Coturnix japonica: one gene and its partners. The protein of the gene in region 2 purifies or fractionates together with the protein of the main gene of each other region. This does not show direct contact. Links are inferred from orthologs where the notes say so. Each region holds a gene or a part of one and is shown on either strand. Other genes may lie near its edges.

Region 1 (4,073 bases), about 45 Mb from region 2:
CAAGTGGAAAACTCTAGAAGTGCTGATCTGCCAGTATTCCTAGTGCTTTAATGGAGTGGAATGTCTCAGTAATAGGAAATCCCATTTCATCGATAAATATATTGATGTAGACACAAAATAAATTAGAATATTTTCAGTTTGAAACTGAAAACTCTCATTGTTCTCTCACACTCCAAAACTCACTCATTCTCTGCACATGTCCCCCAGCTCTTTAATAATCTGCAGAAAATGTATTGATTACAAATGACCATTTCAAACCAACCATCATTTGCTAATAAAAGTTTCTAAAAATTAGATTTTGTATTTTCATAATTTACCAGCTCCTGCATCACGGAGAATAGTTTACTGAATCTATTTTAAAAACAGGTGACCATTTGTGTCATGGAAAAAGAACATAAAAACATTTATTCCCGGAGGACTGCTCAGGACAGTGATCAAATTACAAAATATAGTCTGATTTAAAAACCTAACAAACAAACAAACCAAAAAAACAACAAAATTGGTAGGAAAATAATATAGTAGTAAGTTTCTGACACCAGCAAATTCTGCTGCATCTCTAACTACAATTCTCTCCTTTCCTCACAGGTCTGTTTCCCTGCTGCTATCCAGACAGAGGGCATATAGTGATTTTCTGAGATCTACGTTACTTTTAGCTTTGATATTGGTTTTCTTTAAAGGGCTGGCACTGCTTTTGAACTCTTCATTATTTTCCAAGTGCACAACAGATTTGTCCAGAGAGCTTTTACTGCATCTTCTCTTTCCATCTACCCCAGTTACACTGTCCTGAGCACTACTGTGTTCTTCTTTGAGCATAGCTTGCTCTTCATGGTCAGTCTCTCGGTGGTAGAAGTAGTTGAAGTTGGACACAATAACAGGGACAGGCAGGGCAATGGTGAGCACACCAGCAATGGCACACAAGGACCCCACGATCTTGCCCCCCACAGAAACAGGTCGCATGTCCCCATAGCCCACAGTGGTCATGGTCACCACAGCCCACCAGAAAGCATCAGGGATGCTGGAGAAATGAGACTCAGGGTCATCAGCCTCAGCAAAGTAGACAGCGCTGGAGAAGAGGATGACGCCGATGAAGAGGAAGAAGATGAGCAAACCCAGCTCCCGCATGCTGGCCTTGAGGGTCTGCCCCAGGATCTGCAGCCCCTTGGAGTGCCGGGACAGCTTGAAGATCCGGAAGACCCGCACCAAGCGGATGACTCGGAGGATGGCCAAGGACATGGCTTGTTGCTGGCCTCCACTCCCATTGCTGCTGCTACCTCCAGGCTGCTGTTGTTCATTGGCCAATTCTGTGCCCAGCGTGATGAAGTAGGGGATAATGGCCACGATGTCAATGATGTTCATGATGTTGCGGGAGAACTCTGGCTTGCTGGGGCAGGTGAAGAAACGCACAAGGAGCTCAAAGGTGAACCAGATGACACAAGTGGTCTCAATGATGAAGAATGGGTCAGAGAGGCTACTCAGTGACTGCATGGGTGAGGAGTCTCCAGCTGTGGCATTCAAACCTCCACTTTGCGGGGGCAAGAACATGGGTATCTCTCGTTCATCCCTGAATTCAGGCAGAGTCTCCAGGCAGAAGATGATGATGGAGATAAGGATGACCAAGACGGAGACAATGGCGATGGCCCGGGCTGAGCTGGAACTCTCAGGGTACTCAAAGATGAGCCAGACCTGGCGCTGAAACTCGTTGTGGGGAAGGGGCTTGTCCTCTTCTCTGATGAAACCCTCATCCTCCCGGAAGCGCTCCATGGCCTCCTTCCCCAGCTGGTAGAAGCGGATCTCATCAGCAAAGACATCAATGGAGACATTGATAGGCCGGCGGAGCTTGCCCCCAGACTGGTAATAGTACAGGATGCCATCAAAGCTGGGCCGGTTCCTATCAAAGAAGTATTCATTTCTGAGAGGGTCAAAGTATCTGCCTCGCTTTGCTGGATCACCCAACAGTGTGTCAGGAAACTGGTTGAGGGTGCCCAGCTGAGTCTCAAAGTGCAGCCCAGAGATATTGATTAGCACCCTCTGATGATGCATTGCACCCCGGCTCGCTGCCTTCATCTCCTCCTCCTCGCTGCCTGCTGCCATGGCCATGCCCCGGCGGTGACCCCCTTCCTCCGGGGGATCCATTTCCGAAGCCGGCCCGGGGCACGGTGCGTTTGGTTGCGGTTGGGGTCCCGACGCCGCCCGGCCGCTGATGCCGCCCTCGCTGCTGCTGCGGCGCCTCCCGCCGCCTCCTGGAGGGGCAAGCGGGGGCCCCTCCCGCTCCTCTTCGACCTGCGGCGGCGGTGATGCCGGTGGGGTTCCCTCCTTGCCGTCGCTCAGTCTCGGAACAGACGGGGATCCCGCGGTGTGGCGTAGATCGCGCCGTCTCCGAGCCCTGCTGCTACCGCCGGCGTTACCGGCCGTGGCATCCTCGCCGGCCGGGATGGCCCCGCCACCGCCGTTCTCCAGAGTCACCAGCGCGATCTCCATGGGCAGCGGCAGCAGGCGGGCTCCGCTGAGGTGGCGGGCATTCTATGCACGACGCCTCGCTGCCGCCATCCACCTCCGGATGGGTGGGCGGCGGCCCTGCCCTGCCCTGCCCTGCCCTGCCCGCCTATCCCTCAGTGCTCGGCGGCCGAGCGCGGCCTGGGGAAGCCGTTCGGGGACCCGGATATGAACGAGCGATCATTCTGATGATTTGACGTCAGCGAGGATCCCTTCTCCCCAGCGGTGGCGGCGCCAGCTTCCCCCGGCATCGGGCTGCCGCAGCAGCGCCCCGCCCCGCAGGTGGGACCGACAGCATCCGTGCTCCAGCCCAGCCACTCCGTGCCCAAGCGGAGGGAATCACGGTGTTACCCCGAGCGGGTACGCATCCCTTGAGCAGGGGAAGTCTCCGGCTGGAATTGTCTCAAATGAAATCCAGAGCGCCTCTTGGTGCCTGCTGAATCCTCCTGCCTTCACAGCTTAATGAGAACAAAGAAAGGGATGGGATCTGTTTTGCTTTGCTCCCATCCTTTCCCCGCCCTTAACATGTAGTTCCAAAAGGTGCTTCTGAGGCCAGCAGATAGCAAACGTTACACTGGATTACCCGAATGTTAGCATTTATAATTTGGGACCATACTTTGCCTTCAATGATTTCTTAAACCCACATCCAAGGCTGACACACTTCAAAATATATGCATTTTATTAAAGAAAATGAATTGAAGTAGCTTTATATGATGACTTTGGTTACACTTCAGTAATATGATCGATGCTGTGGTCTTATTTCCTGGGTTCAAACTGTGAACTTCAAGGTCTAGAAGACAACATATTCTAAATATATACATAAACAACACAGGATTAAAACCTATACATATACATATATATATATATGCACAACATCAGTTGTAAAAGATGATACTAAATGGAAAAAACATTTTGCCTTCTAGGTGGCATCACTGCAGTGATATTTGAATCCTTGCAGTAGTAATGATATTCATCAAATGTAGAATAACTGGGATTAATGAGTTTTCACTTAATTTAAACCATTACCTCTGTTTATGAAATATGCCTAAAGATATTATAAGCCATGCCAAAACAGAAAACCATAATTATATTGAATGATTATTATAAATGATGATTTGTCTGTGATCTAAAAGTTGCCTCTGAGAGCTAAGCATGGAATCACTGACCTGCTCTGCCATTGAGAACTTACTCACACAAGTAATTCCTAGAAACAAAATTACAGTATATTTTCTAGAGCTGCTCTGAGATCCTGATGAGGAAAATGCACATTGCTAACTGACACAGTTGGAAAGCACAGCTATGTTCTCTGGGCACCTTCTTTGCAGCTCCAACATTTCTGAGAACTTAGGATGTTATCTGTGTATGTGGGTACAAGGGAAGAGGGGAGGAAAGGGTGGGAAGAAAAATCTATTCCAAAAGCAAATTTTAAAGGGCAATTCTTATTTAGCATTCCAAATTTTCTGAGTATTGTGAAATGAGAAGAGCAGACCATCTAGTAGGAAGCAAAGATATTGGAGAGAAAGTATGACATGCAGACATAACAAGTGAGATGTATGACTCATGTTTTAACCTGATGCTCT
Region 2 (3,500 bases):
GTACAGAAAAAAAAAATCTATAATAGTACACTCTCCATTATGTACATAGAAAAACATAAAACTATATCCATACCAGTGTCTGTTTTTAATGCAAACAATAGTAGTTAATAGCTTTGTAACTTTTTGTGCACCTTTTCCCCTCTTCCCTCCCTCTCTTCCTCCCTCCCGGCCCCATTAAAAAAAATGCAGCATTTCCTAAAGTTTTCAATGCTTTGGCAGAAATGCAACTGAAGGCACTCCCGTGTTAAGCAAAGCAGTAGGTGAAATATCAGCGCTAGATAAAAAAGCTGCAGGTGTACCAGACAGCTCCGTGCTCAATTCCAAGGGCCAAGCCCTGTTCTCTTGGAGGTCAAAGACTGGTTTGCAGTAGATGCCAACCAGAGCAGGCTCAGGCCTCAGGCTGGTTACAATAAAGCAGATCAGCCTCACAACTCTTTTTACAAAAGCTTCATGCAAACCACATGAGGATACGGGCTGTATCTCTCAACACAGTACTATCATGAGGGCAAAAAGCTCCTGTAGGTCACAGCATCAGAAAGCGTCGCAAGGACTTTGCCTTGTAGGCCTTTAACCTTGCTACATAGGCTAGCTTGACACAACACCCTCCATTTAAGACTTCCTGATGTTGCAGCACAGCTAAAAACAGACTAATCCACAATGTGAAGTTTCTAAACCGTCTCTCATGATGGATTAATTTAGATTCAGCAAAGCGTCAGTTCATCTGAAAATAATGTGTGCTCGCGGCATGCTGACTTCTGCTGATAGGAAAGTTTTTTAAAGCTCATTGGAAAGTTTCCTTTAGAGGCAGCCCCTCCTTGGCATTTTGTGGCTTGTGTTTGGCACACCTTCGTGTTTCTTGTAACTCAGGGTTATCTCTGGCATGCTTTTATATGAATACTCTGGAAAAAAAATAAATGAAGCCCACGAGATAAACACCTAAAACAGCTAAAGGATGTGTCATAAGTCACAGTCAGGAAAACGTTTCCATAATGACCAGTTTTAGTTTTCAACTTCACTTTTCTTCTACAATTTAGTGAAGGTTGAGCTACAACTGGCTGCAAACTTCCAAGTAAGAATGAGATACAAAGGCACTAACAGAAGCCTTTTTATGGATGAGCAAAGCTTTCACATGTCAGTGTCTCCAACCTGATGAAATGTTAGTTTTTCAGGACATTCATTAATTAAGTAAATTGTTTACTTATCCAATGTATTCATAGTACATCACACCTGACCATGATTGCAAATCGCTGTAGTCAACTGACTACACAATTGAAAAAGAACATTCTGCTAAAACCTGCCAGCTTGTCATGTTTATTCTGCTGCAGCAGCTCTACACTCTTTGGCCACAATAAAATGAATGGCATTACAGCGTTGGAAAGCTTTTTTGTCATTCTTTGGTAACTCTGTGGATTTATCTTACAAGGAATGAACAGTGAGACAAAAAGGCATCCAACAACATTTCAGACTCTGAATTGAACAGCCAGCAAAATGATATGCAGCTGTCATGGAGGAATAGCTATTTAAGGTTAGTTTGAAATACAGACTGAAAAGAGAAAACACAATAGGCAAGTAGTCCAGTATGAATACATAGTAAAAAAGGATATTGAGCAAGTGATTTTTTGTTTTGGGCCAGTATATCCACCAGTTGCTGTATGTTGCTTTGGGAAACGTGAAACTGGCACCAAAACACCCCAAACAACACAAATCTCCCACCCCTTCTCCAGGCTTTTTGAAATGTCCCTCAAATGTCTTTCTGTACTGTGGCTCGGATGCTGCTGAACACCTTGCCCATAGCCTCAAACAGTGGGTCGCAGAATGTGTGGATGCAGATAGAATAGACACGGCTAATGCACTGGATCTCAATCAGGTAGCTCCTGATGCACGGCACCACCGCCCAGATGTGCAGGAATGACAAGATAGCAAAGTAGATGCCCCAGATGAGTGCCATGGGAATGCCAAAGATTGCTGACAGCAAGCGATAAAACCAGTATTTTGTTACAGTGAAAGTGGTAAAACTGGCCTTCCAAATCCCATCAAAGCTGTGTGTTCCTTCTGGCTCAGCAATCACATCTTCAAAATCAATCTGCAGCAAAGAACACAAAAATCAGGTCAGTCAAACATCCTCATCAAGTGTGGAGCCCAGAAAGCCCCTTCCTCAAAAGCAATGATCGCCTGTAACAAACATTGAAGCTTCTTACATCCCAATATGAATTAACCCATTTTAAAATATCACCTAAGCCATGAGCAAGACTTGTCTTTTTTTTTTTCCCCACTGACTATAGGTGATACTTAATGATTAGCTCAATGATACACATCTAACTTTTAGATGGAGAAGAGCTATCCAAAGAACTGAATATTTTGTCCTCCTCTCCTGCAGCCTTAAGGGTAAGGAATGCCCTTAATTCTACTTAAGACATGAAAAGGTGATAGAAACATTGTATTTTCATTGTCTAGCTTTTCACCATCTCACATCTTTATAAATGGAACAAGTGCAGACACTGCTTTGACATTTAACACATCAATAAAATGTGTTTTATTTGTTTGACTTTTTCCACCTTCCCTTATATAGTATTGCTGAATTTTGACAGTGAACAAATGTTGAGGGCATCTAAATATACTTTGAAATAGGCATAGATAGCTGTTGATTGGCTGAAAAACAAAGTGCTGGATTTAGAACTGCCTAAGATGGAACTTATCTTTATTGTAAAAGAGTGAGGGAGTCTTTCAATTTTATTAAGCGTAAGAAGGCTTTTCACACGAGAGCCATTTTGTTCTAACCTGCTCTGTTTACGTGATAACACTGTTAGTGGAAGACATAGTCAGGATAACGTGTTAATATTTAGAAGGAACACACTCTTCCACATATTTTATAGTTTTGAATATTATTCATAAACTGTTCACAGAGTCATCTAAGGAAGCAGTACATTCCAGCATGCATATTTTACCATTCTCTGTTGAAATATTGAGCTTTTCAGGAAGCCTAATTGTCATAACATTTCTATTAGAAAATTAACAGAATTACTATGATAGTTCAGCTCCATGTCACACAAATGTGTTTGATATAACCCACCATACAGGATATTTAATTTAGGCAGCGCAACAGATTGCATAGGTGCTGCATACAACAGGAAAAAGAACGCCATCAAATTATATCTCTCTAAGAAATGAAATGGTTGTTTAACTTAGATGGAAGAAAAAAAGAAAATGCATTCCTGGGACTGAATCCCAGTGTCCAATGATACTGCTGCCATAAGGGAAGATATGGGCCAGAGGTCTCAGAAAGTCAGGCAACAGGTCCTTAGCACGCTGGAAGGACATGAATGTGAATATACTCAGTGTATCACCTATGCTGTAGGAAAAGGCTCAAAAAAAGCTCGATTAAAATACAGACTGAAGTTGACAAAAAACCTTCTCCCTTTCTCTCATTGAGTCTTCACGTGAATTCAACTGAGTTCTTTGTTAGGGAGCTGTTGGAGAGGGTCCAGAGGAGGGCTACAAAG
Region 3 (3,996 bases), on a different chromosome or scaffold from region 2:
CATCAGAACCAATTGTAAAACTTGTCAGCAAAGATGACATAGGATACTAAAAAAAAAAAAATCAGGTTTTAAGAGACAGATTATAAGCAAGGGTGTAAAAGCTTAATAAAAATGTAACAACCAAGTGTCTGTAACACAACTCAGACACATCAGATACTTCAGCCCTGCCTTCACAGCTCTGTCATAAAGCTGGAAATGTGAACTTTTTTCCTGGGCTCATGACTACCCCGGAGACTTCCCCGAAGTTAAGCTGAACAGCTTTCCACTTTCCATACAGCTGATAGCACCCTTTTAAATTCACTTCAGAAAACTCAAACAGATTGTGATATTGCCACTAAAACAGAGATCCAGGGAGGGGAAGGCTGCCTGTTTTCTTTTTCTGTCTAGTAATAAACAACTTCAAGAAAGATTATTTTTTTGCCTGTTCGTAACACCCTCATAGCTACAACTCCTGGCAGTAGCTGAGCACACTTACAAGAACACAAGAGTCAAGCAAGTACCATTGATATGAAACTGCCTCTGCCCCGTGCCTCAGCACAGACCAGGTTTTACAAGAAGGCATCGTGGAAACGCACGCTTGCCTTATCCTGAAATCATCTGTGACAAAACACATTTACGTCCTCCTATTTAAAGCAATTTTCACAATTACTACCTGGAAAAAAAGGCTGAAGTGCCTATAAAGAACTGGAATTTCTGCCAAATTCCGACACGTCAACAGAAAAAAATACAAACAAAATAGACAACAGAAACCAATGACTACTCTCCAAGTTTCCAATAATCAATGTGTTGTATACCTGGCACCCATAATCCAGAAGAAGCTGTAGTATGTCCAAATTTTCATTTTCAATCGTTATGGTAACAGCATTTCTTCCAAGCACATCCACACAATTTATGTTCATCTCACCAGAGCTGTTTTCTTCTAAGAGTTTCTTAACCATGTAATAATCACCTGCATGAACAATGTATGAATATATCTCAGCGTTCTTATTGTAAAAGCACGTTAACATGTTGAAGTACCAGCTACAGTCCATCACAACTGACAATACAGCGAGTACGTCAGGCATCTAAGAAGAGAGATAAGAATTCTCCCTCCAGATGGAAAACTGAAGACATACTAAGAGTTCTCCTTCAGGGAAGCACTAAGACATTTAATGCCTCCCTTAATTCCAGTCTTGAAAACAAGCACATATAACACACAAAAGCACAGGTACTTTTCAAAACTGAGGCAGCACCGCATATATAACCTCTGAGATGCTGGAAACATCAGCTCCATCAAAGAAGGCTACTTGGTGCAGAAGAACCGCAGCATCGGAGCAGCCCTCTATACAGCACCACATACACACCTGCTTCTCTTGAGTACAAGCCATGTTGGCATTTCCTATTTATTTCCATCTTTAACGTACCAATCACGAAAGTCAGGGTGATGTGATGCTGCAGTGTTACAAAAATCAAGCTAACAAGTTTGATGAGCAAGTAAAACTAACCGTATTGTGTAGACATCTGCACTTTCCAACTTGCCTGAAATACAGACGCAGCAGTACTGACATTACGTATTATTTTGTTTAACTGCTTGCTGCCAAGGAAGTTTTATTTTTGCCTCTAACAAGCTATTTCACGGCACAGAGGACCATGACGAAGACAGATCTTGCTGTACAACCCTCACAGAACATTCAGATACAGCCTGTAACAGTACTAAACCCGCAGTTAGACACATCAGAATGGTTGTTTTTCTTTTATTATTTTAAAGATCTTTTCGTTGCTGTTTTATCGTGCATCCTTTAGCTCTCTGAGCCTGTTTACACTTTGAGAGCGTGCTGCCTGGCTCTAGTCTCCAGGACAGGCTCCACCAGCAGCAGGGCTGTGGGCAGTGTGTCCATCTGACAGCAAGGCACTGACCTCCCATTGAGCACCCCAGCTTCACAGGCCGCCAGTTGCCTCTGAACCGCTGCCCAGCACCAACCCAACAGACAGCAGTGGGCAGGGCTGCACATCAACACATTGACTGCTACATAGAAACACAGAACCATTCATCACCTGATCAACAACCTGACTTGGGGTCCAATGCTTTTAAAGTGCCAAGAACCGTTTGATTTAAGACAATCTTTAAACAAGGTACATAAACACGTGCTTAAACTAAGCAAGCATCAGATTTTAGACAGGAAAAATCCACCCACAACCATAGGTGCCATTCAGTGCCCGAGGCATTCCACTGACGCCCAGGTAAGTCGCCCATTGGAAAGGAACTTTAAAAGCGACCTGAGCAAACGTTAACTGACTGGTGTCACAACACAAACCCCGTGGCACACTGACCCATCGCACACCGACACAGAACGCCGCTGCAAGGAGAACGTTCATCCCCTGCCCCGCCCGAAGCGCGGCCGCTGCCTGCGGGCAGAGAACAGCTCAGGCCTCGGAGCAAGAGGCCGAGCCCCCCGTTCCCGAGGCCGCATCAAGGGGCTCCGTACCTTTGTCACAGGCCAGCAGGAAAAGCTTCTCGTCAAGCGTGGTCTCTTCCTTCACCTGCCGTACATCCTTCAGCGCCAGCAGCTTGTTGGGCGAGGCCGAGGCGGACGGGTCCGCGCTCTGGTACAGAGCCGCCATAGCGCCGGCTCCGCCAGGCCCATGAGCGCGCGGGCGGGGCGAGGCCGCGCAGCAGGAGGACCCCGGCAGCCCCGGGGGGAGCGGGGCGGCAGCACCCGGCACTGCCGGCACAGGGCAGGGCAGGGCAGGGCAGGGCAGGGCAGGGCAGGGCGGCCGCTCCCCGCTGCACTGCGCAGGATCCAATGGCGGCCTCGCCTCTCCGGGCGGTAGCGGGGAGGAGCACGCCGCAGGGCTGTGGCTGCTGCAGCGCCGCGTCCTCCCGCAGCGCCGTGCGCCTCCGCGGTTTAGCGTCACCCCTACAAAACGGCTTTTGTAGGGGACCGCGGTCAGCCTGTGCTTTCAGGCCCGGCTGGAGCCTGATGGCGCGGGCCTCAGAGGCAGGAGCACAGAGTCAAGGGCCTGACTGCGCTGTACCTGCACGCACACGGAGCAGTGACATGTTTTTATCAGTTAACGCTTAGGGGAGTACTTCTAGACATCACAGGCATTAATTCTTCCTTTTTACGTTACAATTACATGCCTTCATATTTGCCATTTAAAGACAACTAATTCTGTATGTTGATAACTTGCAGCCCTAGCTCCTGTTTCTGTGGTTTAGTGCAGGTGGTCATGATACACGAGGCCTTATCCCCAAATTCTTCCCCTCAAGCTGCTGGCAGTCATCCTGAGCTGACCCCACTGGCACAGCCTCATTCGCTTTAGTGAGCTATAAGGATGGATGCTATGGAGAAGCTGTGGTGCCCTGAAAATCCATTTCTATTTTATCAAAATATGCTTGAACAGATTGTAAACATAATTCCCATTGATTTTCTAAAATACACACATGCAAGCCCTTAGCTCTCTGAGACACTGAGTATCCCCTTACATAACAGAAATCAAATGGATGTAACTTCTTTCTTTTAATATGTTATGCAAGATAACAGAAGCTTGCTACAACTGCTCACATTATCATGCTTGGATCTTGCCACACTTACTGTTTCTAGAAGCAGAGAGAGAAAAAGTGGCTCCATATCTTTAAAAAAGAAACATCTATTTGTATTTAGTTTTTCCTTTCTTACTGTTCAGCTTCTGGTAAGAATTAAAAATCCAGAGCCTTTGGTGTAAAATTATGGCTGCACAGAAAGGTACAAATATTTGCTTTAAGATCAATACGAAATCTCACCCAGACAATGATACAAAGCCTCTCTCTATATATGCCATATACTCCAGTAAAAATCAAAGGAACAACCTGTAAGGACCCCTTCTGGACAGGCCAGGCTTTTATTTTTCACTTTTACAATATTTTACAATTAAAAAAAAATCTCACGTGCAGTTCAACTGAAATAGGTAACATATGTGCAGATCTAACAACATGATCACATTTCTGCCCACTAGGCTTTTTTCCTCAGGACACAG

The links.
Region 1: the proteins of CAV1 (region 2) and potassium voltage-gated channel subfamily A member 5-like purify together in Homo sapiens (affinity purification with western blotting, with the first as the bait; 3 studies listed by BioGRID). This does not show direct contact. The link is inferred for Coturnix japonica from reciprocal best matches to the Homo sapiens genes CAV1 and KCNA5.
Region 3: the proteins of CAV1 (region 2) and TRPC1 purify together in Homo sapiens (affinity purification with western blotting; 3 studies listed by BioGRID and IntAct, with this or other methods). This does not show direct contact. The link is inferred for Coturnix japonica from reciprocal best matches to the Homo sapiens genes CAV1 and TRPC1.

What each region holds. Positions count from the first base shown.
Region 1 is NC_029516.1:67,515,118-67,519,190, reverse strand, and holds the start of potassium voltage-gated channel subfamily A member 5-like, read right to left. Parts: upstream 2,801-4,073; 5' UTR 2,479-2,800; coding exon 580-2,478; 3' UTR 1-579. UniProt on the Homo sapiens protein: Voltage-gated potassium channel that mediates transmembrane potassium transport in excitable membranes. Forms tetrameric potassium-selective channels through which potassium ions pass in accordance with their electrochemical gradient.
Region 2 is NC_029516.1:22,486,348-22,489,847, forward strand, and holds part of CAV1 (caveolin-1), read right to left. Parts: intron 2,084-3,500; coding exon 1,742-2,083; 3' UTR 1-1,741. UniProt on the Homo sapiens protein: May act as a scaffolding protein within caveolar membranes. Forms a stable heterooligomeric complex with CAV2 that targets to lipid rafts and drives caveolae formation. Mediates the recruitment of CAVIN proteins (CAVIN1/2/3/4) to the caveolae.
Region 3 is NC_029524.1:8,921,060-8,925,055, reverse strand, and holds the start of TRPC1 (short transient receptor potential channel 1), read right to left. Parts: upstream 2,801-3,996; 5' UTR 2,602-2,800; coding exon 2,466-2,601; intron 950-2,465; coding exon 795-949; intron 1-794. UniProt on the Homo sapiens protein: Forms a receptor-activated non-selective calcium permeant cation channel. Forms a heteromeric ion channel with TRPC4 or TRPC5 that has reduced calcium permeability compared to the homomeric TRPC4 or TRPC5 channel.